3 linked regions of the Tamandua tetradactyla genome follow. The protein of the gene in region 1 interacts with the protein of each later gene in a biochemical or structural test. Links are inferred from orthologs where the notes say so. Each region holds a gene or a part of one and is shown in the gene's direction. Other genes may lie near its edges. The genes, in order: MAD2L1, ubiquitin D-like and REV3L.

Region 1 (9,777 bases):
AAACAACAAAATTTTTGAGAAAGAGAAGAGGAAGATACATTCACATTTCCACAGCTCTTCAAATAATCTCCCTTAAATTCCAGTCTCCGATGCTTGGGACCTTAGGTTATAATAATCTGCTTTTCCCACACTCCTGATGTTTAGCCTCAGGCAAATAGCAGCCACTCTAGGGGTAACAACTCATAATGTTCTAACCAAGTCCCTAAGAAATGTTCAACTTCTGTGATAAAATAGTATTTTTTTTTTACCACATTTACAAGTCAAATTGTAGTTTCTTATGAATTAAATGGAGACTAAAGATAACTCAAAATTCATAGGATCCTAAAGTAACATTACATAAACTTAAGGAACCTATCTTATTAATAAACTATTCATTATATAAACCCATATCACACCTTAAATTTAAGAAAATGAAAATTCTGTTAGTACATTTTAAAAAAATCACAATGCCATAATACTCTTTTATTTCTCATACCAGGGTCTGCAAGAATATTCTCGGAGATATAACACTCATGTGAATCTTTCTCAATTTTTGTTTCATTTTTATGACAAAGTAACATCAAGATTCATTCTGGGTCACCTGAAAGACCATCTTAAAACAGACTATTGCCATCTATTTCACTGCCAAGAAGTTAGAGTCTGTGTTTACATCCATTTGGGGACTAAGCTATCATGAAATGACACCATTTAATTTTCATCCACTAGTTCTTCAAATTTAAAGCCAAAATTCTGGAGCTCAGTAAGCCTTTTAGGTTACTGGTTGATGCTAAAGGATTATGTACATTATTCAAGAATAAGAAACACTGTGATATTCTATTTATAAACAGAAAACTCCAATACAAAAGATAGAATTAACGTGCATGACTGATCTGTAACTTGATAAATTTTGCTTGACTACTGCATTGTTTGAATGAGCTATAAACACAAGACAAGTCATAGAAAACTATTTCAGTTGAAAAAGCCAAGTTTCTCTAAATAGACAAAATATATTTACAGTAAAATGATTTTCTTGTTTTCAGAATGCTTTTTGCTCCTTCAAATGCCTATAATTATAAATGGTACTGACAAATATTTGAGAAAGAAATAAAGTTACGATTTATTAATTTTGTTCTGTGTATGGAACTTCTCAAAAATATTTTTCTACTTAAATCACATATAAGTCTATTATTAGTAGATTTAGCATAACTAATTCACCTATATTATTTATCTGGCAATTATAAAAATAACCCACGCACAAGATATTCACAAGCAACTAGCTAAAATATACCATATGCATATATGCATAAAATGTTTGCCCAAATTTAATACATAATTATAAAAAGCATCTAACACATTAAATTTATTTTTGTTAATTCTAATAGTAATCATAGTTTATTAATTCTTCACAGAGGCTTTGTGTTGGCAGTTTATATATCTGAAACTGTTCTGAGTTCTTTTGAATTTCAATCGTGACTTTGAAATATATTGTGCTTTGAAACCCAATGAACTACAGAACATATTTTGAATGGATAAATTGGGAAATTAAGGGAGAAACTATAGCTTAATGTATAGTTAAATATATCTGTAATGTATCCATCAAAAAGGCTCTGGGAATTAAATCAAGATATTATTATTTACCTTTGAAAGTATACCTTTTGGTAGCTAATCATGTTTGAGCTATGAAAATTCTATATGTGGCTATATGTCCCTATCATAATAAAGGATTATGCAACATGTTTTCTGTTATGAAATAGCCTGTATTTTCATTTTATGAACTTAGGGTTTTTCATCTTAACATGTTTTATTAATATTTAGCACTTAATTTGTACTAAGAATAAAATTTTTAAATCCTATATATACAACTAGATCATTCAAAACCTATTTTTTACTGTATTAAGCCATTGCTTATCTATGAAAAGTCATGATTCAAATTCACTGTGCTATCTTTGGGACATGTGGGCCAATGATCAAAAACTTACTATGAGGGAAATTGGAACTTTACAAGATCTGTATTTTCAGCTTAATCCTTAAGTATATAAAAATATATAAACATATATTAGGTCTACAAAATGAAGCCCAAGTAATCAGAGTAAAAAATAACCGATTTATTTTCATTCCTGTCCTTCACATAAAATAAGACATAATCTAAATGATATAACACATAGAATAATCCTAAGATTTAGGACAAAAATGTTCTAAAAAAACAAGAGTTAATCTTACAAACAAGCATAATCAAATAGGTAGATGTATGTCTTATCAAAGGAATCATACAGAAAAGTACACCACTGTTTACCAGATTTAGAACAAACTGCTTTATTTCAAGATATTGACCTTATAAATAAAATAACTGGCTATTTGATGGGAAACTATCATAAGTCTATGAGAAAATGATTACTGAAATATTTTCAATTCCAGGTAATAAATTAATATGAAAATTAAATGTAAACATAAAATATACTAAGATTTCATATATACAAGTATGTATAAATATGTCTGTGTATATGTGCATATAATGTTTAAAAGAAGGAAAATCAGTTTTATATAATATAGTATGATGCAACATTTCATTTAAGTATTCCATATATAAGTTTACCTCAGAAACTACCGAACTCATTTTTACTTCATTACTTTATCCAGTGTTTTAGATCAGTTTTGTGGCAAACTTTCTGTAAACAGCTAGAATATAAATGCTAAGTTCTCTGCACCACAGAGGTCTGTTGCATAGTCTTCTCTTTTTTATATTTTAACAATCTCTTCAAAAAATTCTTAGCTGTGGACCATACAAAAATATGCCTTGGTTCAGAATTGACCAGTAGACCTTAGTTTGCCTACTCCTGCTTTAAATAATTTTATTTACTTATTTATTTTACCTTTAACTTAAACAGACACTCGGATTGAATTTTTAAAAAGCATTATTTCACATGCAAGCAGTGCCATCTTCTGGTAGTTGGAACTATTTCTGTATTAACATAAAATTTATTAAACTGGAGTTGAACTGCAATCTTTGTAACAAGTTATGTATACATACTATTGAGTTAAAAAACAGCCTAAACTTCATTTAATTTTTTCAAAGTAACATGTAGAAAAAAAAAGAGCACCTTTAAGCATATCTTCAAACAGACATCATTTTTAAGAGTAAGTCAGGTACTGTATAGATTTCACTACTAAAAACTCAGCATAATTATACAGTCAATATGAACCTAAGTTTTCTCATTTCAGATTATGCAACTAAGTCATTAATTAAGCTACATCAATTCTAAAATTCCATTTGATTCTACCTTCAGAAATTTTTACATAACTAGTGCTAGGTTTTTATGTCAACCCTAAGAATCCAGAACTCCATGATGCCTCTAATTTAATCAACCCAGGTGGGTATTCAAAGATGGCTAAAAGTGGCCTTACCTCATCCATCCGACCTGCTCTCAGATGAAAATATTTGTTGGGTTGTTCCATTTCGTTTTTCTAGACAAATATTCAAATGTTTATTAATTCAACAAATATTTGTGGGGCACTCACTAAATGCCATCACCAATCCTACACAAAAATAGGGAATATATAATATAAATCACTACATAACTATTTACAATGCAACAAACGCTTTTAAGCAATTCTATGAGAGGCTATGAGAATACATAAAGGACCTTAACGTGAGAGGTCACAGAAACTTTCTTCATTTACGTTAAGAAGGGGTGTGAGCATATTAGGGATTCACAAGTGCAAAATAAACTTTCTAGGTAGAAGACAGCCTATTATGGAAAGCCTTGAGGTGGAAAAGGGAATGGAATGCAAAGTTACTAAAAGAGGCAGACAAATTAGAAAAGTAATCTGAAAGGGAGCTGCAGAGGTAGGCAAAAGCCAGAAAAGATCAAATTCGAGAGCCTTCAATATTTTTTAGAGAATGCATATTTAAACAATATTAATTATTGGCATAAACCACGTCTTCCAAGTCTTACTCATTTCTTATATCTTCTCAGAGTACAAAGAAAACATTAAATAAATATTTCTTCTATACATGAAAACCTCATATATTTTCCTAACCTTTAAATTTGTTATAGCACAATTACTTAACATTTTCAAGTAATTTACAACCCATATCATCATGAAACCCAAGGAAGTCTTTCCTGAAGTGCTGGCTTTTAGCAAAAAGTTTCTTAAGAACAAAGGCAATTTTTAAATGGAAAAAGGTGGGTGCCTTGCCCTAACGCTTGATACCAGAATTCTAGCCCTAGCACAAGCTCCGGTAGAAAGGGTGAGAGACATCTAGATTCCTTGCCCCTTCACTCTTCACCTTCCATCATGTCTTGCTCTTCACACCAAAACTGGTCATTTAAAAACAAAACACAGACTAAAAGGATGTAAGGAAAAGACCTTACTGGATCAAGTCTGCCCATCTCCCATGACACACACACTCCGCTCTGCAAACTAATCCAGCCCTGGGATTTCAAGACGGCTTCGAGTCCAGTCGCCTGGCGAGCAGGCCATGTGACCGACCGCCTGCAGAGCTCGTCCACAGAGAGGTCACTTCTGGGGCCAGTTAACCAAGACATTGTCTGAGCGGACCTGACCTACTCAGGTGTGTCCTGGAGTCACAGAGACCCCAAGGGAGGGAGCCTACGGCAGAGTCCATGCAGAGGCCGGACACTTGGACCTCAGGACTAAACCCGAAGGCCCAGAAGGCCGAGGGGCCCGCGCCCTCCGACGGAGCCCCAGCGTGCGGACACCCGGATCTCAGCTCGAGTCGGCGGGCCCTTCCCGCACTCTCACCCGCAGGCCGAGGGCTAAATGGGGGTCTTAGTGAAAACTCGGGGATGTGTTAGGCAGCAACGAGAACATGAGCACACTGCCAGGCCTTTCTCGTCCTACGTAATCAAACATAGCATCTGGTAGACGTCAAAGTCCTCGGTTTGCATTTTACGAGCCCATTCCCCGGCTGTCTCAAAGGAAAATCGTTTCACAACTGAATGGGGACTACTCGTGCAGAATCTCCGGACCCTCCCACCCAAACGGGCAGAGCCCCGGAACGTGTGGGCCCAGTCCGCCGTGACGTCCTCGGCGCGACCGGCCTCGCGGCGGGATGACCTTCACCCCGGCGCGGCCCGGACTCGCTCCGCCACCTCGGGCTGGGCTCGCCCTCTCACCCCCGGCCAGTTCTCTCACACACGGAGGACGACTCGCCGAGGCGTCGGGAGAATGGTCCGACTTCCCACAGGGTCGCGGCGGCGTCCCCACGGCCGCCTCGCCTCAGGCGGGCAGTCCCGCGGGCCGGTGTGCCCCTCGCCTGTGCGATCCACAGGCCTAGTGAGCGACCACATCATCAGGATCTCCCTCCTTCCCTCGGCTTCATCTAGTTGACGCGACCAGAGGACCCACGCGCGAACACCTGCGCGTCACAGAGCGCCACGCTCTCCCACGCGCCTGCGGGAAAAGCCCGGACGAGGCGGAAGGGGATCGCGCATGCGCACAGGCTTCGCGGCGTGGGGCGGTAGGCGTACGGGAGGGGGCTCATCGCGCCTACGCAGAGGCGGGAGGGCGGGTGGAGGCTCGTTGCGCCTGCGCAGAGGCGGGAGGGAGGCGTGGAGGCTCGCCGCGCCTGCGCAGAGGCGGGAGGGAGGAGTGGAGGCTCAACGCGCCTGCGCAAAGGCTCTCCGGCGTGCGGCGTAGTTACTTTTGAAACGAGCGGCGGGAACTGCTGCTGTGGTCGCCGTGGCCGCTCTTCGCTGTTCAAGAAGCGTTCTCTGTTCCGGACCATGGCGCGGCAGCTCTCCCGGGAGCAGGGCATCACGCTGCGCGGGAGCGCCGAAGTCGTGGCAGAGTTCTTCTGTAAGTCCACTCCCGCGGCGGGCGGGAGAGGCGAGGCCCGGGCCGCGCCGCCGCGAAGGCCGAGGTGGGGCCTGAGGCAGGGGCAGCCCACGGGCGCCAGGCGGTCGCGAACCGACCCGACCGCAGCCTCCGGACCTCCTGCTGAGGAAGGGCCTCAGCCAGGGGCAGGTCCTGGAGACTGGCGCCGGCGCGCTGCTGACGGCGGCGGAGCTTGGGCCCCGGAGGGTGAGTGCCGGCCCCGCCCTCGGCCCTTTCCCGGGGGTGAGTGCCGGCCCCGCCCTCGGCCCTTCTCCGGGGGTGAGTGCCGGCCCCGCCCTCGGCCCTTCCCTGGGACCGAGGACTCCAGGGCTTAGGGCACAGGACGACGCAGTGGGTCCCTGTGTATATTTTCCTGGCTCCGCACCCCACCCCCAGGTAGTTCTGAGTCAAGCGTGAACTGTGGGAAGCAGTGTTCTTGATCAGGCTTTCTGTAGTCGGGACTCCTGATGGTGCCTGGCAAGATTTGGGAGAAAACAGGGTGACAAAGTCTTGCCAAGGATTTGTAATGCCACTTTGTACCTATTTTGCTTTCAAGAAAGTAGGGGTATTTGCGTGTTCATGTTTCCAGTTTTAGAGCATTAATGAAACTATCCACATCTATATAGATGTTTCATTTTCAAAGTTACAAAATGATAATGATTTTTCTATAACATTTCTTTTGCTTTCAGCTTTTGGAATCAATAGCATTTTATATCAGCGTGGCATCTATCCATCTGAAACCTTTACTCGAGTGCAGAAATATGGACTCACCTTGCTTGTAACTACAGATCCTGAGCTCATAAAATACCTAAATAATGTAGTGGACCAACTAAAAGGTATTTGTTAGTTGTAAACAGTCTGAGTTTTGCATCCCTTCTGAGATCCAGATTTTCTAGCATCTTGGTGACTGTTTTTCAGCCCTTTGGGAGAGGTAAAACAAACTACCTTCTCAAATATTGTTATTGTCAATGAGAAGAAGCAAATAATATATAGATTGAGGGAAATCCTACCCTTCTGCATTCTGAATGGGGCTATTCTATCCTCAGCATCTTGTATTACATGAACTAGAACAGGAGCTGGGTTGTTAATGGGACAAGTTATCTGAGCAAATGAGACAAGTTCCAAAAGACCAGTGGTAAGAATTTGCTGAGAAAGGGAAAAGGACCTGAAAAGGCAGGGTTGCTTTGCAATGTAGTGGAACAAACATAAATGCCTTATTATGTGTTGCAGATTGGTTATACAAGTGTTCAGTTCAAAAACTGGTTGTGGTCATCTCAAATATTGAAAGTGGTGAAGTCCTTGAAAGATGGCAGTTTGATATTGAGTGTGACAAGACTGCAAAAGATGAGAGGTATGAATAAAATTATTTTTACTCTGATGTATTCTTTCCAAAACTTGTCTTCATTCCTAAATGAGTTAAAATTATAACTTTAGTATTTATGGTGTTACATGTGAAATTGCAAGATGTACTAAGTGGACCATTTAAGGAATTGTGCTTGAAGGTACTCTTAACTGTAAGAGATTTTCCTAGGCTCTCCCCAGCTTAACATGCAGCTCTGCTGCATTTCCTTTAAGCTATGAACTTCCTAAGGTGCTTCAAAAAAGTCTAAATCTAATGCCTGGATAAGAAGTGCCTGTCATTATATGCTGATGTCCACCATTGTCCTACATATGCTTTTCTGTAAACTCAGAAGCATAATTATTTCTCATTATGGAGCATGGTTTGCTTCTAAAGCCTTTAGTGTATTTCAGGAAACTAATTTGATATTTTATTTGAAGCAATTGGGAGGTAGATATATAAGCATTATTAAAAATGTCAAAATGATTGTACCAAAATGATTTTAGATACCATTTATTAATTTTATTTTAGGAGGTCTTGAAGTTTTCCTAACTCAGAGATGCTGGCAGTTTTCTAAACATCTGATACTAAATGACCTGATATTATGATTGGAAGAACTGATGAAATAATGATGCTTATTGTACCTACTAAGTTCATTCTTTTTTTAAACTTCTTTTTGATGCATTACTTATTTCAGAAGCATTTAATCAGATAATCTTAGCTATTGCTATTGTTATATTTTAAATGACTTGTTAAAACCTAAAATGAATTGACTTGATTTTCTTGATAGTGCACCCAGAGAAAAGTCTCAGAAAGCTATCCAAGATGAAATTCGTTCCGTGATCAGACAAATCACAGCTACAATAACATTTCTGCCACTATTGGAAGTTTCTTGTAAGTTTATATTATGCAATTTCTCATACTAAGCTACTAATTTAAGAATCACTCCTTTATTACATTTTTTCTTTAGTTTATAAGTAGGGGGAAAAGTGAAAATAGTATATATACATATAAAGTAAACCTAATATATAAGCATTCTAGAAAATTTGGAAATACTAAAAAAGAGAAATGTCTTTCATAATACTCGTTCTTGAATGTTTTGATGTAATTCCTTTCAATTTTTTAATTTTATATGAGTAAGATTATGCTATAACTATGTCTGACTATTCAGACTTAGTCCTTCATTCATCAAATATTTATTCAATGCCTGGTATATGCCAGGTATTGTTTGGGCAACTAGGATATAGTCGTGATCCAAACCAAAGTGTTAGCTTTCCTGTGCCTTACATTCATGTCTTATGTAATTATAAACTTACTGTGTATCTTAGAAATGGTTTCCTCTTTGAAAAAAACAAAAAAATCTTGAATTTCTCTTCAGATTAGGTAGAATAGTGTGGTATTTTTTGTATTAAAATGAATTTCCATTGAGAAAAATAAATTAGTGATTAGCATTCAGGTTAAACCATCTTTTTTTTTTTAACCCTTTGGACCTAAAGTAAGGGAGATAAGGAGAGTAGTTTTGCTTTTGAAAAAATAATTTACAATAACCTATTTTATCCCCAATTTAGGTTCTTTTGATCTACTGATTTATACAGACAAAGATTTGGTTGTACCTGAAAAATGGGAAGAGTCAGGACCACAGTTTATCACCAATTCTGAGGAAGTCCGTCTTCGTTCATTTACTACTACAATTCACAAAGTAAATAGCATGGTGGCCTACAAAATTCCTGTCAATGACTGAGGGATGAGTTGAGAAAAATAATGTACTTGCAATTCTCAAATGTGGTTTTCCTGAAACTAAATCAATTCTAGATGATAGGTTTATTTTGTTGGTTATAGGTAGGGAAAAATCAACATTATACTTTATGAACTGTGCATAATTGTTCCATTTTTTACCACCGATTTGACTCTCCATAGGATTAACATCATGGATTAGAGGAGAGTAAGGTATTTATTCCCTTTGTTAACGTGTTGGGCTAAATAGATTAACACAAAAGCATATTGCACATTGTTCCAAAGGGAACCAGCTGATTTTGTCAGCATAGATGAGAAAACTTTTGCTATAAAGCTAAAGGACATCCTAAATCATAGATTTTGGCTGAACAGCTTGAATCAGAATATAGGTAAGGAGATATTTAAATGTAAAATACAGCAAAAAATATCTGAATATTTAGAATCTTTGTTCAGATCCTGAAAGGAGCAAACATAACACCAGTTATGAAACATTGCTTTATTAGCTCCTTTTGCCATTTATTTAGTTGTATAATTCCTATGTTGAAAAAATGTTTGATAATTTGATTTTAATGTATATAACTTGTACCTGTAAAGCCATGGATCTTTCTACTGTTAAATTTCCTTTGCTACAGAACGCTTCTTCAAAATATCTTGGACATTATAAAATCAAGCTTTAAATGACTATGATGAAATAAAGTTAAATTTGTACGTTTTAAGTTTGTCTTAAAATGTTTTGATATCGATGTGTTAATACAGTTAAATGGTAGCTAGATGGGCTCAGTAAAGCACATGATTTATTGTAATTACAAGGTTTTAGGTCCTAAGGATATAAGAGTCTTGAAGTACTTTGACTGTAATGGACAATTTTGATAATACCCCTGTCACAT
Region 2 (9,835 bases), on another chromosome or scaffold:
TTTATTCTTTTAGTTGCAATTGTAAATGAAATTCGTTTCTTGATTTCCCCCTCCGCTTGTTCATTACTAGTGTATAGAAACACTACAGATTTTTGAATGTTGATCTTGTAACCTGCTACTTTGCTGTACTCGTTTATTAGCTCTAGTAGTTTTGCTGTGGATTTTTCCGGGTTTTCGACGTGTAGTATCATATCGTCTGCAAACAGTGATAGTTTTACTTCTTCCTTTCCAATTTTGATGCCTTGTATTTCTTTTTCTTGACTAATTGCTCTGGCTAGAACTTCCAACACGATGTTGAATAGCAGTGGTGATAGTGAACATCCTTGTCTTGTTCCTGATCTTAGGGGGAAAGTTTTCAATTTTCCCCCATTGAGGATGATATTAGCTGTGGGTTTTTCATATACTCCCTTTATGATTTTAAGGAAGTTCCCTTGTATTCCTATCCTTTGAAATGTTTTCAACAGGAAAGGATGTTGAATCTTGTCAAATGCCTTCTCTGCATCAATTGAGATGATCATGTGATTTTTCTGCTTTGATCTGTTGATATGGTGTATTACATTAATTAATTTTCTTATGTTGAACCATCCTTGCATACCTGGGATGAATCCTACTTGGTCATGATGTATAATTCTTTTAATGTGTTGTTGGATTCGATTTGCTAGAATTTTATTGAGGATTTTTGCATCTATATTCATTAGAGAGATTGGTCTCTAGTTTTCTTTTTTTGTAATATCTTTGCCTGGTTTTGGTATGAGGGTGATGTTGGCTTCATAGAATTAATTAGGTAGCTTTCCCTCCACTTCAATTTCTTTGAAGCGTTTGAGCAGGACTGGTACTAATTCTTTCTGGAATGTTTGGTAGAATTCACATGTAAAGCCATCTAGTCCTGGACATTTCTTTTTGGGAAGCTTTTTAATGACTGATTCAATTTCTTTACTTGTGATTGTTTTGTTGAGGTCATCTATTTCTTCTTGAGTCAAAGTTGGTTGTTCATGCCTTTCTAGGAAGTTGTCCATTTCATCTACATTGTTGTATTTATTAGCATAAAGTTGTTCATAGTATCCTGTTATTACCTCCTTTATTTCTGTGAGTTCAGTGGTTATGTCTCCTCTTCCATTTCTGATCTTATTTATTTGTGTCCTCACTCTTCTTCTTTTTGTCAATCTTGCTAAAGGCCCATCAATCTTTTTGATTTTCTCATAGAACCAACTTCTGGTCTTATTGATTTTCTCTATTGTTTTCATGTTTTCAATTTCATTTATTTCTGCTCTAATCTTTGTTATTTCTTTCCTTTTGCTTGCTTTGGGGTTAGTTTGTTGTTCTTTCTCCAGTTCTTCCAAGTGGACAGTTAATTCCCGAATTTTTGCCTTTTCTTCTTTTCTGATATAGGCATTTAGGGCAATAAATTTCCGTCTCAGCACTGCCTTTGCTGCGTCCCATAGGTTTTCATATGTTGTGTTTTCATTTTCCTTCGCCTCGAGATATTTACTAATTTCTCTTGTAATTTCTTCCTTGACCCACCAGTTGTTTAAGAGTGTGTTTTTGAGCCTCCATGTATTTGTGAATTTTCTGGCACTCTGCCTATTATTGATTTCCAACTTCATTCCTTTATGATCTGAGAAAGTGTTGTGTATGATTTCAATCTTTTTAAATTTGTTGAGACTTGCTTTGTGACCCAACATATGGTCTATCTTTGAGAATGATCCATGAGCACTTGAGAAACAGGTGTATCCTGCTGTTGTGGGGTGTAATGTCCTATAAATGTCTGTTAGGTCTAGCTCATTTATTGTAATATTCAAATTCTCTGTTTCTTTATTGATCCTCTCTCTAGATGTTCTGTCCATTGATGAGAGTGGGGAATTGAAGTCTCCAACTATTATGGTAGATGTGTCTATTTTCCTTTTCAGTATTTGCAGTGTTTGCCTCATGTATTTTGGGGCATTCTGCTTTGGTGCATAGATATTTATGATTGTTATGTCTTCTTGTTGAATTGTTCCTTTTATTAGTAGATAGTATCCTTCTTTGTCTCTTCTAAGTGTTTTACATTTGAAGTCTAATTTGTTGGATATTAGTATAGCTACTCTTGCTCTTTTCTGGTTGATATTTGCATGAAATATCTTTTCCCAACCTTTCACTTTCAACCTATGTTTATCTTTGGGTCTAAGATGCGTTTCCTGTAGACAGCATATAGGAGGATCCTGTTTTTTAATCCATTCTGCCAGTCTATTTCTTTTGATTGGGGAGTTCAGTCCATTAACATCTAGTGCTATTAGTGTTTGGGTGGTACTTTCCTCTACCTTTTTCCCTTTTGTATTTTACATGTCATATCTAAATTTCCCTTCTTTCTACACTCTTCTGCACACCTCTCTCTTCTGTCTTTTCTTATCTGTCTCTAGTGCTCCCTTCAGTATTTCTTGCAGAGTTGGTCTCTTGGTCACAAATTCTCTCAGTGACTTTTTGTCTGAAAATGTTTTAATTTCTCCCTCATTTTTGAAGGACAATTTTGCTGGGTATAGAATTCTTGGTTGGCAGTTTTTCTCTTTTAGTAGTTTAAATATATCATCCCACTGTCTTCTCGCCTCCATGGTTTCTGCTGAGAAATCTACACAGTCTTATTGGGTTTCCCTTGTATGTGATGGATGGCTTTTCTCTTGCTACTTTCAAGATCCTCTCTTTCTCTTTGACCTCTGACATTCTGACTAGTAAGTGTCTTGGAGAACATCTATTTGGATCTATTCTCTTTGGGGTGTGTTGCACTTCTTGGATCTGTAATTTTAGGTCTTTCATAAGAATTGGGAAATTTTCAGTGATAATTTCTTCCATTAGTTTTTCTACTCCTTTTCCATTCTCTTCTCCTTCTGGGACACTCACAACACGTATATTTGTGCGCTTCATATTATCATTCAATTCCTTAAGTACCTGCTCATGTTTTTCCATTCTTTTCCCTGTAGTTACTGTTTCTTTTTGGATTTCAGATGTTCTGTCCTCCAGGTCACTAATCCTAACCTCTGTCTCTTGAAATCTACCATTGTAGGTTTCCATTGTTTTTTTCATCTCTTCTACTGTATCCTTCATTCCCATAAGTTCTGTGATTTGTTTTTTCAGGCTTTCCATTCTTCTTTTTGTTCCTTCCTTGCCTTCTTCATGTCCTTCCTCAATTCATTGATTTGGTTTTTTTTTTTTTTTTTTTTTTTTTTTTTTTTTTTTTTTTTAGAGAGAGGGAGGAAAGGAAGGAAAGACAGAGAAGGAAGGAAGGGAGGAAGAAAGGGAAACATTTTAAACATTTTCTTGTTTTATTATATTTTGTTTGTTTGTTTGTTTTTTACATGGGCTGGGGCCGGGAATCGAACCGGGGTCCTCCGGCACGGCAGGCAAGCACTCTTGCCCGCTGAGCCACCGCGGCCCGCCCTGATTTGGTTTTTGATGAGGTTTTCCATTTGTGTTCGTATATTCTGAATTAGCTGTTTCAGCTCCTGTATCTCATTTGAACTAATGGTTTGTTCCTTTGACTGGGCCTTATCTTCAATTTTCCTTGTGTGATTTGTTATTTTTTGCTGGTGTCTAGACATTTAATTACCTTAATTAGTTTATTCTGGTGATTGCTTTCACTTATCTTACCTAGGGTTTTCTTGCTAGATGAGTTTGTTGTCTACCTGTTATTTGACCTTCAGTTCAGCTTTTTCTGGGCCTGTAGCTTAAGTTTTGTTTAACAGAGGGTAATTTTTCAGTTCTTGTTTTCTTGTTTCTTGTCCTGCTTGTAAGGTGCCTTTTCCCTCCCCACCCTTAGGAGGGTCTACATAGGTATTACAAACTCCAGCCAGGTTTTCCCCGACTAAACTGGCCTCCTATCAGGGGGAGGGAGTCACCTGCATAAGCTTACCCTGAGGGTGAGTCCCAGCAGGTTGAAAGACTTTCCTGTGAAGTCTCTGGGCTCTGTTTTTCTTATCCTGCCCAGTATGTGGTGGTTGTCTATCTGCAGGTCCCACCACAAAAGATATTGTGGCTCCTTTAACTTTGGAAGGCTCTCCCTGCTGGGGGCGTGGTGGAGACAGAGAAGAGGTTTTAGGCTGGTTTTAATGGCTTCAAATTGCCAAGCCCTGGGTTCTGAATTCCTTGAGAGAGGGATTCCACCTGAGTTGGGCTTCACCCCTCCCCTGGGGAAGGCTCAGCCTGGAGATAGCCCTGAAGCCATCCATTTCTGCATATGCCTGGGGCAGTTGTAACCTGTGTAGTCCTGCCGCTGAATCCAGAGGCAGCCAAGCCTCCATAGAAACAGCCACAAAAGCCTCCATTTCACCCCCTTTCCTCTTTTTTGGTTAGCCCAATAAGCAACCTCTGCCTTGACCAGTTTCGCCTGAGCTAGGGGCCTATTTTACGTAGTCAGAATTTGTTTATTAATGCCACAATTGGTGTTTGGTTGGACTCAGTCCCTGCTACTGTTAAAATGTCTTTCCTTTCCCTCTGGGAAGCCACCTGTGGGGGAGGGGTGCCACACGCCGGCTGCCACGGCTTGGGGAACTCACGGTTCCAGAGACTCGCAGCCGGTCCAGCTGGTCTAGACTGGGGTACGCTGTGTGTCCAGCTACTATCGTGGCTCCGGGAGCTGTTATGTACTGTTTCTGGTTATTTAGTAGTTGTTCTGGAGAATGAACTAAAATGTGCACATTGCTAAGCTGCCATCTTGGCCCCCCAACTTGACATTCTTATAGGCATTTTACCCTGAGAAAAAAATATCAAAGCACTTTTAATAAATTATATATTTATTTAAAAAAAACTGCAATGGAGGGATGGTTTGGAAGACGCCAGTGGTTAATTTGAAATGTTAAGAGGGTTAGAGTGATCCAACAAATCCCTTGTGGGTACACAGCTCAAGCACTCCCTTTTTGTCTCAGTTTAATTCTCAAGAGCAAGGGAGTGAACAGCATCTTTAGGTGTTTTCTGAGATCACGGTAGTAGGGAGAGTCCTAGGGAAAGGGAGAGCATTGGATGCACCATGGTATGAGAGTGGCTGTGTGAATGTGTTGGTGTGCGGGAGATGGGAGTCAGCATTCCATTGTTGGTCTTGGGTTGTTATGAAGTAATAGATTTGGGTTGCAGGCTCTGGAACAGGGTAGGTAGTGTGCTTGTGAGTTCAAAACTCAGAAATGTAAAATTCTCTGTGAAGACATTTTATAAATATTTTCCTAAGCCTGGAAGACACTTAGGAATCCTCTCTAATTCTCTCATTTCCTTTTTAGACAAGGAAACCAACATCCAAGGAGGTAAACAGACCTGCTCAAGGTAATATAGCAAGTGACACATCTGGGACTCAAACTCATGTCTCTTCTCAGTCTAGGGTTATTTATTATATGTCCTCTCAAGACAAGTTCCACACATTCTGCCGCTGTGAACAGGCCACTCAAAACACCATCCCTGACTGTCCTCTTTTAGGTGCCCTAGCTCTCAGGACAGCCCCTGACTGATGGAGGATTCATAAAAGCAGCAGAGGAGGGTCACCTAGCAGATTAGGTCTTCATGCCAGTGAAGCTCAGAGCTGAGAGTTACACAATCATAAATCAGGACTAGGAGGGTGGAGGTGGGGTGTTAACAGAAGGAAACTCTGAACAAAGGAGGACCATACTGTGCTTCGAATGAAGTGTGTAAATGGATTGGTGAGGGGAAAAATGTCTGATCAAGAAAGTATTCTGTTTTATTGACCCCACCCCAGCAAAAGTGAGAGAAAATTTCTGAGACTGTATCAAAAACAAAGGGTACAGTAAAGCTGCCTAAAGATAAACACAACAGTCCAGGCAGGGGATTTCCACCTCGATTACCTGTATATAGCTGTCTTTTTCTCATCTTCGTATTTCTACTGCCTTGACTGCAGAGATGGCTCCCAATGCTCCCTGCGTCTGTGTAAGTTGGGACCTGAGAAGGGTGGGGAAAGGAAAAGCACCTTTAATTGCTCAGGGGGGCACAGATTTAAGGAACTGAATAGGGATGGTGCTCAGGGAGTAGGATAGCCCAGAAGGCAGCTTGAAGGTGAGCAGAAAGGAATTATTTTCAGAGTGGGCAGAAGGTTGTTGTGGAGAGAAGTCATACATTTGGCTCCTGATTTCTGTTTTGTGTCAGATCTTGAACTGTTAGGGATAAATGGTAGGAAGTGGACTAGACTTTGTGTTCAACAGGGCTGGCAAATTATGGAATTTTTTTCTTATGTCCTTTTCTCCTATCCTGATTAAGTATTCAGGGTTCTTAAGTTTAAGCTTCCCTCTCCTCCCAAAGGAAATCTTCATTTTTCTCATGTTTTTAATGACCCAATATATTACCTTCAATAAGAACATATGCATTATGAAGACAACCTGGAATGTGGGCATCACTCAACACAGAGTAGAGACACTCCAGTGGAGGAATACTAACACAGTCTGTGTCGTGTAAGCTGGGGAAATTTTTTTGAATGGGCTATGAAGGAGCTCCTCCCAGGCTTTTGGGCGATAAAACAGGAATGAGCTGCCCATCTTTCAGAATTTTCCAGTTATTGAAGTAATACTCGGATATAGTCTCCATCTTCCGTGAGGCTCTGGTCTGATTATATAGATCACGTTCTATGATAGGTAGATACAAAAACAAGAAAAAAAAAACTGGCATGTAACATTGAATATAATGTCACAGAAATATGTGACATCATTATAAAGTAATTAAATGTTAAATCAGATAGTAACAGCAAAGCGATTGTGTCCTAACCAGTTTCCTTCCAAAGTAGTTGCAGAACATCTCCATGAGTATCCAAGGAGGCTGTCAAATCTTGAAAACTTTTTGGGAGTTGTTTTTAGAGTCTGGTGTGCATTTTTTTTTAAGCTTTCTAGTTGGATTTATTTTTTGACATTTGCCACATTTTACCTCAATAGGAGTCAGGAAAATAAAGTGGGAAATCATTAATGATATTTTGGGATAAATATAGGGTGTGGTTATGAAGAAATGAGCCTTCTCTTGTTTGGCTTATACCTGGGTCTGGAGGCAGTACCAAAAGAGAAGTGCCAAGAAAAGAAGGGTCACTGATTGGTGGGAAAGAGCAGGAGTGCTTAGCAGGCAGTAGAAGGGGAGGTGCAATGAAGGTAGGGTTGAACGTGTGGCAGATAATCTAGGAAGCCACCTCTAGGTTCTCATTGCCAAGGTGAACATTCATTCCATGGAATGGGAATTAATGACCTTCACTGCCAACATAAATGACTCAGTGAAGATAATCAGTGAACATATCAGTTCTAGGACCAAGGTTCCTGTGCAGGACCACGTCCTGTTTTTGGGTCCGAAGACCCTAAAGCCCCCAAGAAGGCTTTCATCTTATGGAATCGACAAGGAGAAGACCATCCACCTCTCCCTGAAGGTAGTGAAGTCCAGTGATGAGGAAGTTCCCATATTTCTGGTGGAGTCAGGTGATGAGGGGCAGAGGCAACTTCTCCAGGTGTGGAGGTCCAGTTCAGTGGCTCAGGTGAAAGAGATGATTGACATAGACCATGTCAGGCCCGAGACCCAGACTGTGACTTGCAATGGAAAGAGACCAGAAGATAGGAAGACCATGGCAGATTATGACGTTAGAAAGGGGAATTTACTCTTCCTGGCATTTCCTTCAATTAAGGGATGATTGCCCTTGTATTGGAGTGATCTCAGGAAAAAAAGTGACTATTTCCTTTTAGCTTTTACTCACCAATCATGTCCTTTATTAGTTTGCCAAGAGGAATAAATAGATAAATATAGAATTTAAGATTTGGGTGGGGTGGGAAGGAAGACTGCAGAATACCTTTTCACCTTTATTATTCTTTGATTTTAACATAATTATAAGGCAGGATAGTGTATAAGGTGTTAATGAAGATAGAAATGAACTGCCGAGGCTCATGAGAGACAACATTCAAATCCAGTTTGTAATTTAGTTATTTCATGGTTCCCTTTGATTCATAGAGAAACTCCTATTTCCTTTCTTATCTGACAAGACATTAAGTTTTAAATTGGGATCCCTGCTTTTCTAATTTCTATGTTTTCCATTTATGTTTGACTCAGTGCTTCATGTAAAATATCACTCAATAGTTGCTGAACTAAACTGAATTTCCATGGAGAACAGTGAAATGAATTATTAACTGAACTCTGACTAGATCACAATCTAATTCATAGATAAATTAGAAGTTAAATTAAACTTTCTTTCTCTCTATTTAAGGCTGTTTGATATAAAGTGAAACCTGGCACAGAAATGCCTTGCCTACCCTGCATGTCCCATAACAGTTAGAATTGTTCTTATTTCTGTAGATGACAGTGGGCATGGCAGCTCATTTCCATGGGGAGCTAGAGAGTCTGTGCCTCTTGTGGGGACTTCTTGGGGTCAGATGTGTTTCAGGAGGGAATGGACTTTCTGAAAGGTGGAGGAATGTGGACAGTCTCTGTCCTGTTTGTCTTACGGTGTGGCAGGTCTTCTTTAGGTCAGGTATCAGTCTGGATGAGGGGGTAAAGGGTTGACCTCTGGCCTGGCCCCAGAACTCTGCCAAGTTCTGCTGAAGGGGCCTTTTCCTTTCTACTTCCTTCACCACCAGGTCCTGCTCCTCTCTTGGAAACTTGAGTTACGTCCTCCATCTTACTCCCTCCATTTACTCTTCTGCCTCACAGCCTGACTCTCAGGTCTTGCTGATTGTCACTTTCATCTTTTCTCACAACCTGAGACATGCCTACCTTATTCTTCATGAGTTCTAGTCCCTTCTGTTCTTTAAAAATTGCTCAGAACCACTTCCTATAGGTGGGTTTCCCAACTTAACCACACCCAGGAGAACTCATCACACTTAGGAGTGTTCCTCATTACTCTTCTGGGTCAGGTGCCCTGTCGTGGGCACTGGTCACCTGGCCAGGTGGGTATTATGTCCCCGTTTGGATGGTTTCCCCAAGAAGAGGCACCATGGCTCCTTTTTTCTGGATGGAGTTTCATGCAGGGTAAGGTTTATGAGTTCCTTATCAAACTGAGAACCCCTGATAGCAGAAACTGGGAGAAAGCTAATAACGGTAAGCTTCAAGTCACACATCATCTCATGCACACATGGAGTCTGCAGGGATTGTTACTTGTCTCCTGAGGATAAGGAGATCTCCCGAAATCATATCTCCTCCCTTATCAGCTTGGGAGAAAAGTTCGAAGGCCATTTCCTCCTCCCCAAACTTCTATGTAGAGAAGATATTTAGATTTTCCCTCATGAATCTGAACACTACCTGAAAATGGGAAGGGTTAATCTCCCCCATTAACGTTGGGTTCCCTGAGGACAAATCTTGCAGATTTTCTATCAGAAATGAACAGCTTGAAGCGAAACTGACTGACTCTCCAACAGCATTTCTATTCCTGGGTCCTGGGCTGACAGTTTCCTCCTTCCCTTCCCCATTCACTGTCCAGCCTGCCTTTTCTCCAGGCTCCCCAGGAACCTCCTTGCTGCCCCCTTCACCTCCTTATTCCTTAGAGTGTAGATGAGCGGGTTGAGGGCGGGCGTGACCATGGTGTAGAAGAGCGAGACGAACTTGCCTTGCCCTTGATTGTAGCTGTGCGTGGGTTGCAGGTAGGTGTAGATGGCCGAGCCACAGAACAGGCAGACGGCGGTCAGGTGGGCCCCACACGTGCCCATTGCTTTCCTCCGGCCTCCGCGGCTCCTCATGCCCCACACAGCGCGGGCCACGGCGCCGTAGGAGGCCAGGATGACCGCGGACGGCAGCAGTAGAATGACCACGCGGGCGACGAAGATCTGGCGCTCAGTGGATTTTTCGTCGCCGCCGCAGGCCAGCTTGGGCAGCGCGGGCAGCTCACAGAAGTGGTCCAGCTGGAGGGGCCCGCACAGCG
Region 3 (10,668 bases), on another chromosome or scaffold:
AAACTCCATGAGGCTGTTTGCCATGAAAACTTTTTATACTTAAATTTATGTAGTAGACAGATTATTCTTGCAGTAGTGTGGAAAATAAGATTGGAGGGGAATGAGGCAAGAGATCAATCACTGCAGTCATCCACCTAAAGAGATTACGTGGACAGGCATGGGGATTATTCAGCAGAGAATGAGTGGGACTTTAAGTCAGAATGTTGGGGGAATTTAAGCTAAGGTTTATTAAACATTTTGCTAAGCACGTTTTTTGTAATGCCTCATTTACTCCTTATAACATCCCTAATAGGGATAGAAAACAGGCCAATTTGCTAAAAGCTAATTTGCCAAAGAATCACTTTGCTAAATTTACTAAAGACTTGTTTTAGGGTGTATTATCTTGAATATATTTAATAATGAATTCTTTGGCAAAATTACTTCTTAATGAACCAGTTTTGGTGAAATGACCTAGAACTTAATGTCAGCATATACAATTATTCCCATTTTACTGAGGAGAAGCTGAGGTACACAGTTAGCAAAAGAAGTGCCAGGTCTTCAGAGCCAGAGTTTTTAATCCCTAAATGGCTAATAGTTATAGGGATGAAGGAGATGGAATGATCTGGGACATCTTGTTTCAGCTATAATATGCCACGATGTTAATATTCTTAAATGAAGAACTAAAACTTTGAAAAGCAAAATAAATAGAATTCAGTATAATATGAATATCATAGCTTGTTAGAGCAGATTCTTTAATTTTTCTTTGGAGCTTTTTTCCCATTCAGCAAAGTGATGAAAAAATATAATGAAGGTAAGATGGTTCTCTTTGCTTTTATGTGGTTACTCTGCTCTTTTCTTAACTTACCAGAAATTGTCTTCTGTCTGGAGTCAACTACCAATTATATGCATGTGACACATAAAACACACTAATGGCCTCTAAACTTTCCTCCTAAACATTTGTTTCCTCACCTACATTATAATAAATATGCATAATACAAGGCTATTCAAATTCTGTAGATGCCTGTTACCACAGTGACAAATGAGATAATATATGAAAGTTAACCATCAAGTGCCAGTAAACCTATAGGTGGTATTATTTTTCTGACAATGAGGAAAAAAGTCCAAAGGTACAAGGGAGCATGTTTATGAGCAGAGGAGATTTGTGCATTGTGTGTATCTGTTCTTGTGCACCGTTTGCACATAGCCTTCAGGAATTCCTCAGAAGTGCAGAATTCTGGTGGATTTCAATGTGTGGGAATTCAGAGAGAAACAAAAAAAAAGTCAAGACAGGAACTGCAGAGCATTAAACCAAGCAAAGGGCCCTGTGTGACTGTACAGGTAGTGTGCCCATGAAGTGGACCCTGAGCTCAGTATTTCTGCTTTCCTTAGTTATGAGAGTTTGACGTATTTTTAACTTGACTCTGTATTTTGCTCTGCTTATTGACAGTCCCTAGCAAAAACCACACATGACTTTTCTCATGTCTACAATGATTATGATTCCTAGCTGCAGAGTGGAGACCATTCTAGGAGTTCAATGGAGAGCAGTAACCCTTCTTTGGGGACAATGAGAAATGAATGGGGCATTTCCAATTGTCACAGTGGCATGTGGCACAAGGGACATTAAATATCCTACACAATGAAGAAGTGTTCCATCCAAGATGCTAGGAGAAGCCCCTTGAGAAACAGAGTTCAGGGTCCACTTCATGGGCACACTAACTATACACTTGGGCATGCTACCTGTACAGTCACACTGGGCCCTATGCTTGGTTTAATGCTCTGCAGTTGCTGTCTTTAATAACTGTATGTTTCAACTTATGTTTTGTATGTTTGAACACAGGTAGAAGGTAACAGTGTTATGTCTGTGACTGAGTAAATGGAGGCACTGAGAGATGAGAGGTTATGCATTCCATGAAACTATAACCTGCTTCAAATGCAAGAATGAAGTCAATAGCATTCTAAGAAATACAAGTGACTGAAGAACCCTATTAATATCCTTTTAATTCATGTGGACTTCTCTGTATTAGCTAACCATTTATGCTGAAAATGATGACTGAGAAGAGGATAGATAGAGCAACCCATAGTTCTCTTTCCTTTTAGCCCTTCCTTAGAGAATGTAGGTAGGATATGTGCATATCACAAAGGGAAACAGAAACAGTTTAGCACTGTGCAGTGCTTACAGTATTCTGGTAAACGCAAAATACAGATGCATGAACAAGCTAAGAAATAAAAACTGTAATTTCAGTGATTCCACATGAGGTGAATGCTTTTGCATTTGCTGGTAAAAATGGCATTGCACAATATAAAGATGGATAAGAAGCAAATTTTAAAAGTGTCATGACAAGCTGAGGGAGAGATAGTGGAAGAAAAAAGCTTCATAATTTAGTGCATATAATGGCATTTTTTTCTGCTTTTGGAACAAGGGCTACACGTTTTCATTTTGCATCAGGTCCCACAAAGTATGTAGCTGCCCCTGGCTGAATTAGTTAAAGCAGAAAGGGATTAAAAGATATTATTTAGCTCATAGATCTCTGAGAATACCCAAGAACCAGGCTTGGATAATATACAGCTAAAAACAACATCCAGGAAAAACCAAACCAGGAAGAAAAACCATTCCACACCACATGGCTGTTCTAGAGGAAGCTCCTTCCAACATCACCAACTAGTCAGCACCTCTGACTCCTGAAATGGATACTTGAACTCCTCCCCAGCTTCCCAAAAGAACCACACATCTCCACCATGTTTTTTTCCAGAAGATCCCCTCTCCTTGAGTGTAGCATTATTTTGCTCGCTTTCATATCTAAACCTCGAATGATCACATCTGATTGACAGAAACTAGGTCATGCAGTAATGTGCTGAAGTTGGCGCCTGACTGTGAACTAACTTCACATTTAGAGGAGCCACTTTGGTAGCTTAGGGGTATCTATCTGTGTAATGAAAATTGGCTAAGGCTACAAATCAGAGTCCTCCTGGTTCCCCTGCTACTGTTAAATATTAACCAGACACCACTGGTTTCATGCCAACACTCTAGCTGCAAGGGAGTCTTAGAACCTTAGTTCTAATTTTCTAGCTTCTCAAGTACAGAAAAGCAAGCTAGAAGGGGGCTGGATGAGTGTTGAGTGAACAATCTTGGAGGATCTGCCATAAAATTGTGGTAGCTATTGCCTCCTGTCCTAGATTATAAATTGCAAACAAGATGCTAACAAACATTAAATAGGGTTGGTATTGAAGGCTGAGCAAGCCTTACAAAAGCATGACATGATGAGTATAGGTCAATGAAACAGAAGAGTTAATAAAATGTTAAAATACATTTCTGTGATACTAGATTATAAACTCTAAAAGGGCAGGGATCATGTCTGTCTTGTTTACCACCATATTTCAAATCACCTGACAAATGTGTGGCCACTAAACAACAAAAAGATATTTTAAGATATTAGGTATAGATTCAGAGTTCAGTTTTGGCATTTATTATATACTAGGTAGGTAAGACAATTCTAAGTGATTTTACTGTTTCTGGATGAGTTAGATTTCTGGATGTCGATAGTTTGCTATTACACGTTCACATACATTATCTCATTTGAGCCTTATAACATCCCTGAGAAATTAAGACAGGAATTACTATCCATTTCATAGCTGAGCGAACAAATTCCAAAAAATAAAATGACTTCCAAAATTTATTTGGCTAGTAAATAAATGATAGCTTATGATTCTCATGTCTTAACTCAAAATTTCAGTGCTCTTACTTCAGGAAAAGTGTTTTCATAAAATAAAATCGATAGTGATTAATTAGGGGAATGTTTTCAATTTGAGCATCAAAAACTAGATTACACGCAAGGTACAACATCCTCATTTCATGCTGCAAATGTTTTTCCTAGAGAGTGAACATTTTCTTGGAGTTCTAGGACTTGAACTATGGTTGTAATTGCCATTTCTTAAAGTAAATGATTCAAGAGGTAGGGGGAAAGAGAGCCTCTTCTATTAACAGCTAATCTGTGAATTTGATGCTTTTACCTGTTTCTAGTTAGGAAAAGTATAATTGAAAAATTATGGATGCACTTGATTATAAAACAGTACACAGGTTCTCAAATTTTATTTTATTGCTTAAGAATCATGGGGTAGAGAATTGGATTATTATCAATACAGATTACCAGGCCCTATTCCAAAAAAAATGATTCAGTAAGGATCAAAATATTAAATATTAAAAAACTCAGTACAATAGGACACTGAAATCACTGGAATTGTGCATGACATTTAGCTTGTATAAAATATTTACTAGAAAATGCATTTTTAGCAAGGTAGCCCTATTTTTAAATCATTTCTAAAATTTTGTATCAATTTAAGAATTTTTGCATCTTAATGTTTTTAGGTACTTCCTGTGCTTTAATAGAAATCTTGCCACCTATGTTTATAATTATGCTCTGAGGTTAAAAACTGCAGACTAGTTTACTGTGGTAATCAGTTTCAAATCTCCTGGTGTATAAATTCTTACTAATACTTATGTTTTGGAATTTATAGACAACCTATTTGCAGTGACCTGTCCTTTAAGCCTTTTGATTTTTCTATTTGAAGAGCCAAAATGTTTCCAAATGCGGATCTCCTAAAGTACTTTAAATATATGGTGACCGACTAACGCTTATAATGCACCTGTGTATTTGTGTGAAACAATGCTCTCTACTTTGAATGGATTGAAAATAACTGTCAAAGTCCTAATTCGGGGCATATTTTCAACTTGAAACATGGTTTCTGTCTCCTATTGCTTAGAATCATTTTGTTAAGAAGAAACCCTTAAGGATTAGTTTTAAGAAAAGCCCTCTCATTTTATGGAGTAGGAAAAGGAGGCTTAGAGAGACCAAATGACTTGTCCAAGGTCACGCCCAATGTTAGTGACCATATATATCGGACAAAAACCCATGGGTTCCAATTTAATGGCAACCCAGCTTCACCTGCTATTTCATCACCTCCTCTTTTTTGTTTTAATTCCACAATTGCCTTTCTACTTCATCCCTCTTGATTCTCGGATAAAGCTATTTTCTCTAATAGTTCTTTTTCGCTTTCTTGCCTTCGGGTTGTAGAACGTTGCAAAAGGTTTTAATCAGTAACACTTGGAGTCCACATCTAATGCGGGGCTTTTCCTTCGGCCAAAAATTTCTCTGAGAGTATCTTAATCCTGCATTCCGCTAGGGGAGGACCGGGAGGAGGGAAGTCACTGGGAGCTGACAAGTCCTTACATGTCCAAACACCCGCCCGAATCTCAGGCTGCGGGGCCGAGGAGGAAACCAAGGAAGGATATACGAGGGCGAGAGGGAAGGAAAGGGGCGGGGGAAAAACACCACGGTGGGAAATCCCAGTACACTGGATCTGTCAACCCCTGGCAAAGCTGAGCAGAGCCGGGCGTGCATAAATCTCATTAACTTGCCCGGCGCAGACACTGCAGCAGCAAAGAGGAGGGGCGAGAGGGGCGAGGCGGGTTGGGGCGGCGCACTAAGCAAAGCGCCTGAGCCGCCCTTTTATAGGCCGAAGCCCGCGCTCGCGCGTCCCCGCCCCTCCACCCCCCGGGCCACGCGCGGGAGCCGCGGCGCTACTTGAGAAGGGTCGGTTTCGCCGACCGCCCTCCCGCGAGGCCGCGAACGCACGAGATCTACGCCTCGCCTCCCTCCTCCCGCGGGCGGGCTTTCTTACCTTATAAAAAGCCGTCTCTGCCGCTGTCCCCTTCTCCTCTGCTGGATGTGAAATGGCGGTCCGCGAGGCAAGCTTGAGTACCGCAATAGTGGCCAATCCCGCGTAATCGCCAAAACGGCCCTGAACACTGGCACTTCCCTCTCGCAAGCCCCTTGGAGCCCATCCATGACATCGGCGCTCCGTTGCCCCTCACCCAGGTGACCGTGCCCACCGGCCGAGTCATCGATACTCCGCGCCAGGAGCGGGCCTTGCTTTTTGCCAACCACCTCCCTCGCTGCGTGCCCGCGGGCGGGGAGAAAACTCTCTTGGCGCCCCCCTCAGTGTCCCGTTCGGACGCCCCGCTCCCCTCCCTTTCCCATCGCGTTCCCTCCCCCAACTACTCTTGGCCCTCCCTTCACCACACACACAACCCTCTTCTCCCCTCCCCCAGTGGTTGCGTCCGTGACATCATCATCATGGCAACAAGAGCTGCAGCCTGGGACCGAGGAGCCCGTGTGATCCCCGGCGGCGGCGGTTGTGGCGGCAACACCAGCACCGACGAGACCGCGAGGGCTTCTCTCTTCCTGCCCCTCGCAGGGTGCTCCTGAGGAGGCGGCGGCAGCAGTGCCAGCATCGCCCCGCCCGCCCGTCGCCGCTCCTCACGGCGTCTGTGTGTGAAGGGAGGGGGCGCCGCCGCCGCTGCTGTGGGGCCGCCTTTGCTGAGGGATCCGGAGCCGCCGGAGCCGCCGCCGCCGCTACTGCTGCTGCTGCTGCCGAGTTGCTAGTGAAGGGGAGGCGGTGGCGGCGGCGGCGAACATGTTTTCAGTGAGGATAGTGACTGCCGACTACTACATGGCCAGCCCGCTGCAGGGGCTGGATATCTGCCAATCCCCCCTCACCCAGGCCCCTGTCAAGAAGGTACCAGTGGTGCGAGTGTTCGGAGCGACCCGGGCAGGTAAGCGGGCGCGGGGCGCGGGCGGGAGCCGGCGGGGTGCCCGGGCCGCCCTCCTCGCTGCGCACACGCGCACACGCCGCCGGCGCCGGCCCTCTCTGGATCGCTGCTGCGTCTTCCCTCCCCTCCGCCCTCTTCGCCTTTCCTCTCGTGCATGACAAGAGGCGCAAAAATGTGGGTCCGCGCGAGCGCTGCGCCCCCCGGGCGGGGAGGCGGGGAGGCGGCGAGCCCCGAGTGTTTACACTGCGCGCGGCGGAGTGGAGCTGGATCCGCACTCGCGGGTCCGGGGCTGGGGGGGCGAGCTTCGGCGAGGAAGGGCCAGGTGGCCGCGCCATGTCCTCAGTGCCTGGGTTCGCGTGGCCCGGCTCTTGAGGTCGCTCCCTGGCGGGAGCACGGACACCCTCTGCGTCTTCCAAGTGCTCTTTTCTGGAAATAGCCTTATGAGGAGAGGGGAAGTGTCAGCTCTGCTGTCAGTCGCTCTTTTAGCAGCGCTCTCCTCTGCCCCTGCCGGAGATGCTGGGGGCTGGAGAGAGTGGAGCCTGGGGCCAGATAATCTTTTTTCATTGAAGCGACCATGTGGTTCTGCGGTTAGTGCAGGTCGTGACTCAGAGGCTGGGCGGCTTTCTCAGGTGCATTGCTTTCAGGAAAATGTGAATTGTTGGAAGCAGGAGATGCGTGTTTGTTTCCTAACACAAATCATCCTATTTAATGAGTTGAATTTATTAGGAAGCACAGCTAAACCCAGCAGCCCAAACATGGAAAAATGCCCTTCTGTTGGGTAGTAGTATTGCCATTTGAATACGCACATTAAGAAAGCAATAATAATATTTTGAAGAAAGAATGGGGTTGGGAGCCAGCATTGAGAGAAACTATGTGCTCAAAAGCTCTTGGGAGTTTATGATAATATCAATAGGATAGTGACCAAATTTATGAGGTGTTTTTAATTGCTTTGCTTTGCTTCATCCTTTGAACTGCCTACGTGAAATAACGGAGCTGCCTCCTAGAAGGAGGTGCCCTCACCTCGTAACCATGTATTGCTCTATGGGATTTTAAATAGCGTTTCCCACTTGATGCTCCTTGCCCTCATCACCATTCATCTTATTACTGTCAGTTTCTGTGCACTACCAAGATAATAGTACTTTCCCAGACATAAGCTTCCTTCTAAATAATCTTTTATTGTGAATTCTCTTTGTTAAAAATTTCAGTGGAGTTAGTGAAATTTGGTAGAGTATTCCTGTTTAAAATAATAGCGAAAACGATCTTGATGATATGGACCATGTAAGATGGAGAATTTGGTGTTAGCAATTCGTTGAAAGTGAAACACTTGAAACTTGGATCACGTTGGAGGCTGGAAAATAGATGCAAAGTGTTCTGAAGGGTAGGTTTTTTGCCCTTTGAAATACATAGCCGTGCTGTCTTTATTTCTAATGGGAATTTCTGTGAAATATACTGTTTGTTCTCACTTCAGGTGCGGAGAAAGGATAAGGTAGTGATGTTGATGTAGCTCTGTTCAGCAGGTTTCCAAATTATAAAGTGAACATGCTAATAGAATATACTGTGACATTTCTGTGATTTTCAGCATGTATGGTTTGAGTTACCTTTCTACACTTTTTTTTTCTTTTATATGAGTCATCAAATAGTATCCCTGAGTGATTTTCAAACTCTGTGTTTCAGGAAAGTTTTGTTTGTTAAATAAATGAATTTCACTGTAAGCTACACTAATTCTATTATGTGAGAGAATACTCTTTTTAAAAATAAAGACCATGAAGTACTTTTACATTTTATGAATATAGTAAAAATGGAAATGTAAATTATTTATACTGTGATGAAAACAATTATTTCTCCCCTCCTGGACATCTTAAATTGACTACCACCACCATCACTTTGAAATGCATAATAAATTAGAGTTTATAGCTTTCAGAAACGAATCCAAGATTTTTAGTATGTCAGAAACTCCCAGTAAAATTACTGTTAATTAAAGGTAAACAAATTGCAGAATTGTCTACTTTTGTATTCTGTCCCTAAAGAAAACCCATCCATGTCATCCAGAAAAATGGCCTGTTTGGCTTAGTAAAAGTCTGAATTCTAGAATTTTTAGTGGAAACAGATTTGAAAGTATAAATTATATTTATATAGACTAATAAAGTGAGTTAATGAAAATTTGCAACACATGGAAAACCTACTCTACATTAACGTATCATCAACAAGTCTTTCACATATAGGAGTTAAGTTTGGAAACTTTTATTTCTCTACTTTGGCTTGGAAAAAAAATGTTTTAAAACTGAATTCACTTTACAAATGAGATTCTCAAAGATAGTAGAAGAAAAATTTCTCAAATTAGGTGGTCATTTCAGAATTATAAATTCTAGTAGAGAGTGGATCGAGACAATTTTACTAGTCCAGTTTTTCTACAATTGCATCAAGTGTTTTTCTGCTTTAGAAAACAGTCCAGTTGACTTCTGATTGTCCTGTGATTTGAGGACATAAAGAGTAATTTAAAAAACAAATTAATAATGCGTGTTGGGTTTTAAAAGTTCCTATATCTCTAGTTGGTGGGATTTGAAAAGGTGTAATAAAAAGTGGCATATTCATATTTGAAGGGTAAATTCTAACTGAATGATTTAATCCTTTCCTGACTGAGGATATTGAATTCTCAGAGTTACTTAAATTTTCTTAGTGTGAGTGATGGAATTTTTTTAAAAAGCTCATCTGCTTTTAACTTGTTAAAAAAATGTCTTTAACGTTGTTTTGACATCACAATGTATTAAGCAATATCATTTGTAGAAATGGTAATTATATAACAACATTTTGGTAACATATTAATGGAAGGAAGTAGTCATGAGTAATAAAAACACAGGACAGTGTTTTTTTACTTATAATGTGGGTATAACTCCTTTGGGAATTCACTTCACCTAAAATCCTGAAACTTCACTGTGAGGATTTGACTCAGGTGGGCCTGGGAAGGTGTTCACATCTTGCTTAGTTGCTTGATGTAACTCACTTCATGCTGAACTGGGCAGCTTTCTTAGTTTTCCCAGCACCAGGTTAAACAGAATTGTTCTTTCAAAGGAAAAGGGCTTTCCTGCTGAGATGGAGAGTAGGAGTAAATAGGAGAGTGTGAGATGTCCACAAAGCAGATAATTAAATGAAGTAGACCAAACAGTCTATAGAGGGAGCTGCTTGTCTTTAAGAGTACTGTAAGACATTCTGCCAATCTCCCCTCTAAACCTTCCTTTAGCTCAGTGAGTATTTTAGTAGATTGTTCTTAATAATGACAAACATGAAATCAAATTTTCAACATAAGAAATTGATAATTCTGAAATGGTGTATAAAATCTATATAGATGATTATTCGGATTGCACATGTATATATTCTTATACTCTGCATTTTATTAACTATAATAAATTACCAGAATAACCTCACTTTTTTGTAAATTGGTGGATTATTAAATAAGTATGAAATATGTAATATCTACTATAGCTTATATAGATATAAACTAACATCAATAAGAGAGATTACAGATAGTTTCTCTAATAAAAGTCTTGTTTGCTCATGGCCTTTAAAACCATTTAAAAACATTTTAAGATCACATAATACACATTTGATATTATTAGAGAGAAAGATTTTCAGAAGCAGTACTAAGATTTAGTGACTCATCACAAACAAAATAAGTCATTTTATTTAGTAGGTATTTTAATCCCTGAGTAGCAAATTTTATTGGCTTTTTTTGTATTATATTTGATTAAAATCACGGTGAATCAGAGACGTAAGCAGGAGCCCTCTTGAATTTGTGGGCACAGTGGAATATGGTAATATGTGATAAATCAACTCTGTAAGTTGAGTTATTTTTAGGTGTCATCATTAAGAACAACTTTTACCCTCCAGAAGCTGATGTTGTAGTAGAGATGATACACATAGAAGCATTAAGTCAAATATCATACGGTTGGACTGTAATAAAAATGTGTATATGACAATAGCAAGAGCTCATCGGAGTGCATCATCATTGATTAACTGGAGGGCAAAACGAGGAGTCAGGGAAGGCTTCATGAAGGAAGTATGATTAAGTCGTTAAAGAATTAAAA

The links.
Region 2: the proteins of MAD2L1 (region 1) and ubiquitin D-like form a complex in vitro, tested with the Homo sapiens proteins (2 studies listed by BioGRID). The link is inferred for Tamandua tetradactyla from reciprocal best matches to the Homo sapiens genes MAD2L1 and UBD.
Region 3: the proteins of MAD2L1 (region 1) and REV3L form a complex in vitro, tested with the Homo sapiens proteins (2 studies listed by BioGRID). The link is inferred for Tamandua tetradactyla from reciprocal best matches to the Homo sapiens genes MAD2L1 and REV3L.

The regions. Positions count from the first base shown.
Region 1 is NC_135348.1:48,644,540-48,654,316, forward strand, and holds MAD2L1 (mitotic spindle assembly checkpoint protein MAD2A), read left to right. Parts: upstream 1-5,571; 5' UTR 5,572-5,726; coding exon 5,727-5,799; intron 5,800-6,506; coding exon 6,507-6,653; intron 6,654-7,047; coding exon 7,048-7,168; intron 7,169-7,946; coding exon 7,947-8,050; intron 8,051-8,724; coding exon 8,725-8,897; 3' UTR 8,898-9,606; downstream 9,607-9,777. UniProt on the Homo sapiens protein: Component of the spindle-assembly checkpoint that prevents the onset of anaphase until all chromosomes are properly aligned at the metaphase plate.
Region 2 is NC_135331.1:84,201,978-84,211,812, reverse strand, and holds ubiquitin D-like, read left to right. Parts: upstream 1-5,868; coding exon 5,869-5,895; intron 5,896-7,153; coding exon 7,154-7,621; downstream 7,622-9,835. Other genes in the region: putative olfactory receptor 2I1, read right to left, coding at 9,387-9,835. UniProt on the Homo sapiens protein: Ubiquitin-like protein modifier which can be covalently attached to target proteins and subsequently leads to their degradation by the 26S proteasome, in a NUB1-dependent manner.
Region 3 is NC_135331.1:170,321,358-170,332,025, reverse strand, and holds the start of REV3L (DNA polymerase zeta catalytic subunit), read left to right. Parts: upstream 1-5,936; 5' UTR 5,937-6,450; coding exon 6,451-6,589; intron 6,590-7,071; exon of another isoform or gene 7,072-7,964; intron 7,965-10,668. UniProt on the Homo sapiens protein: Catalytic subunit of the DNA polymerase zeta complex, an error-prone polymerase specialized in translesion DNA synthesis (TLS). Lacks an intrinsic 3'-5' exonuclease activity and thus has no proofreading function.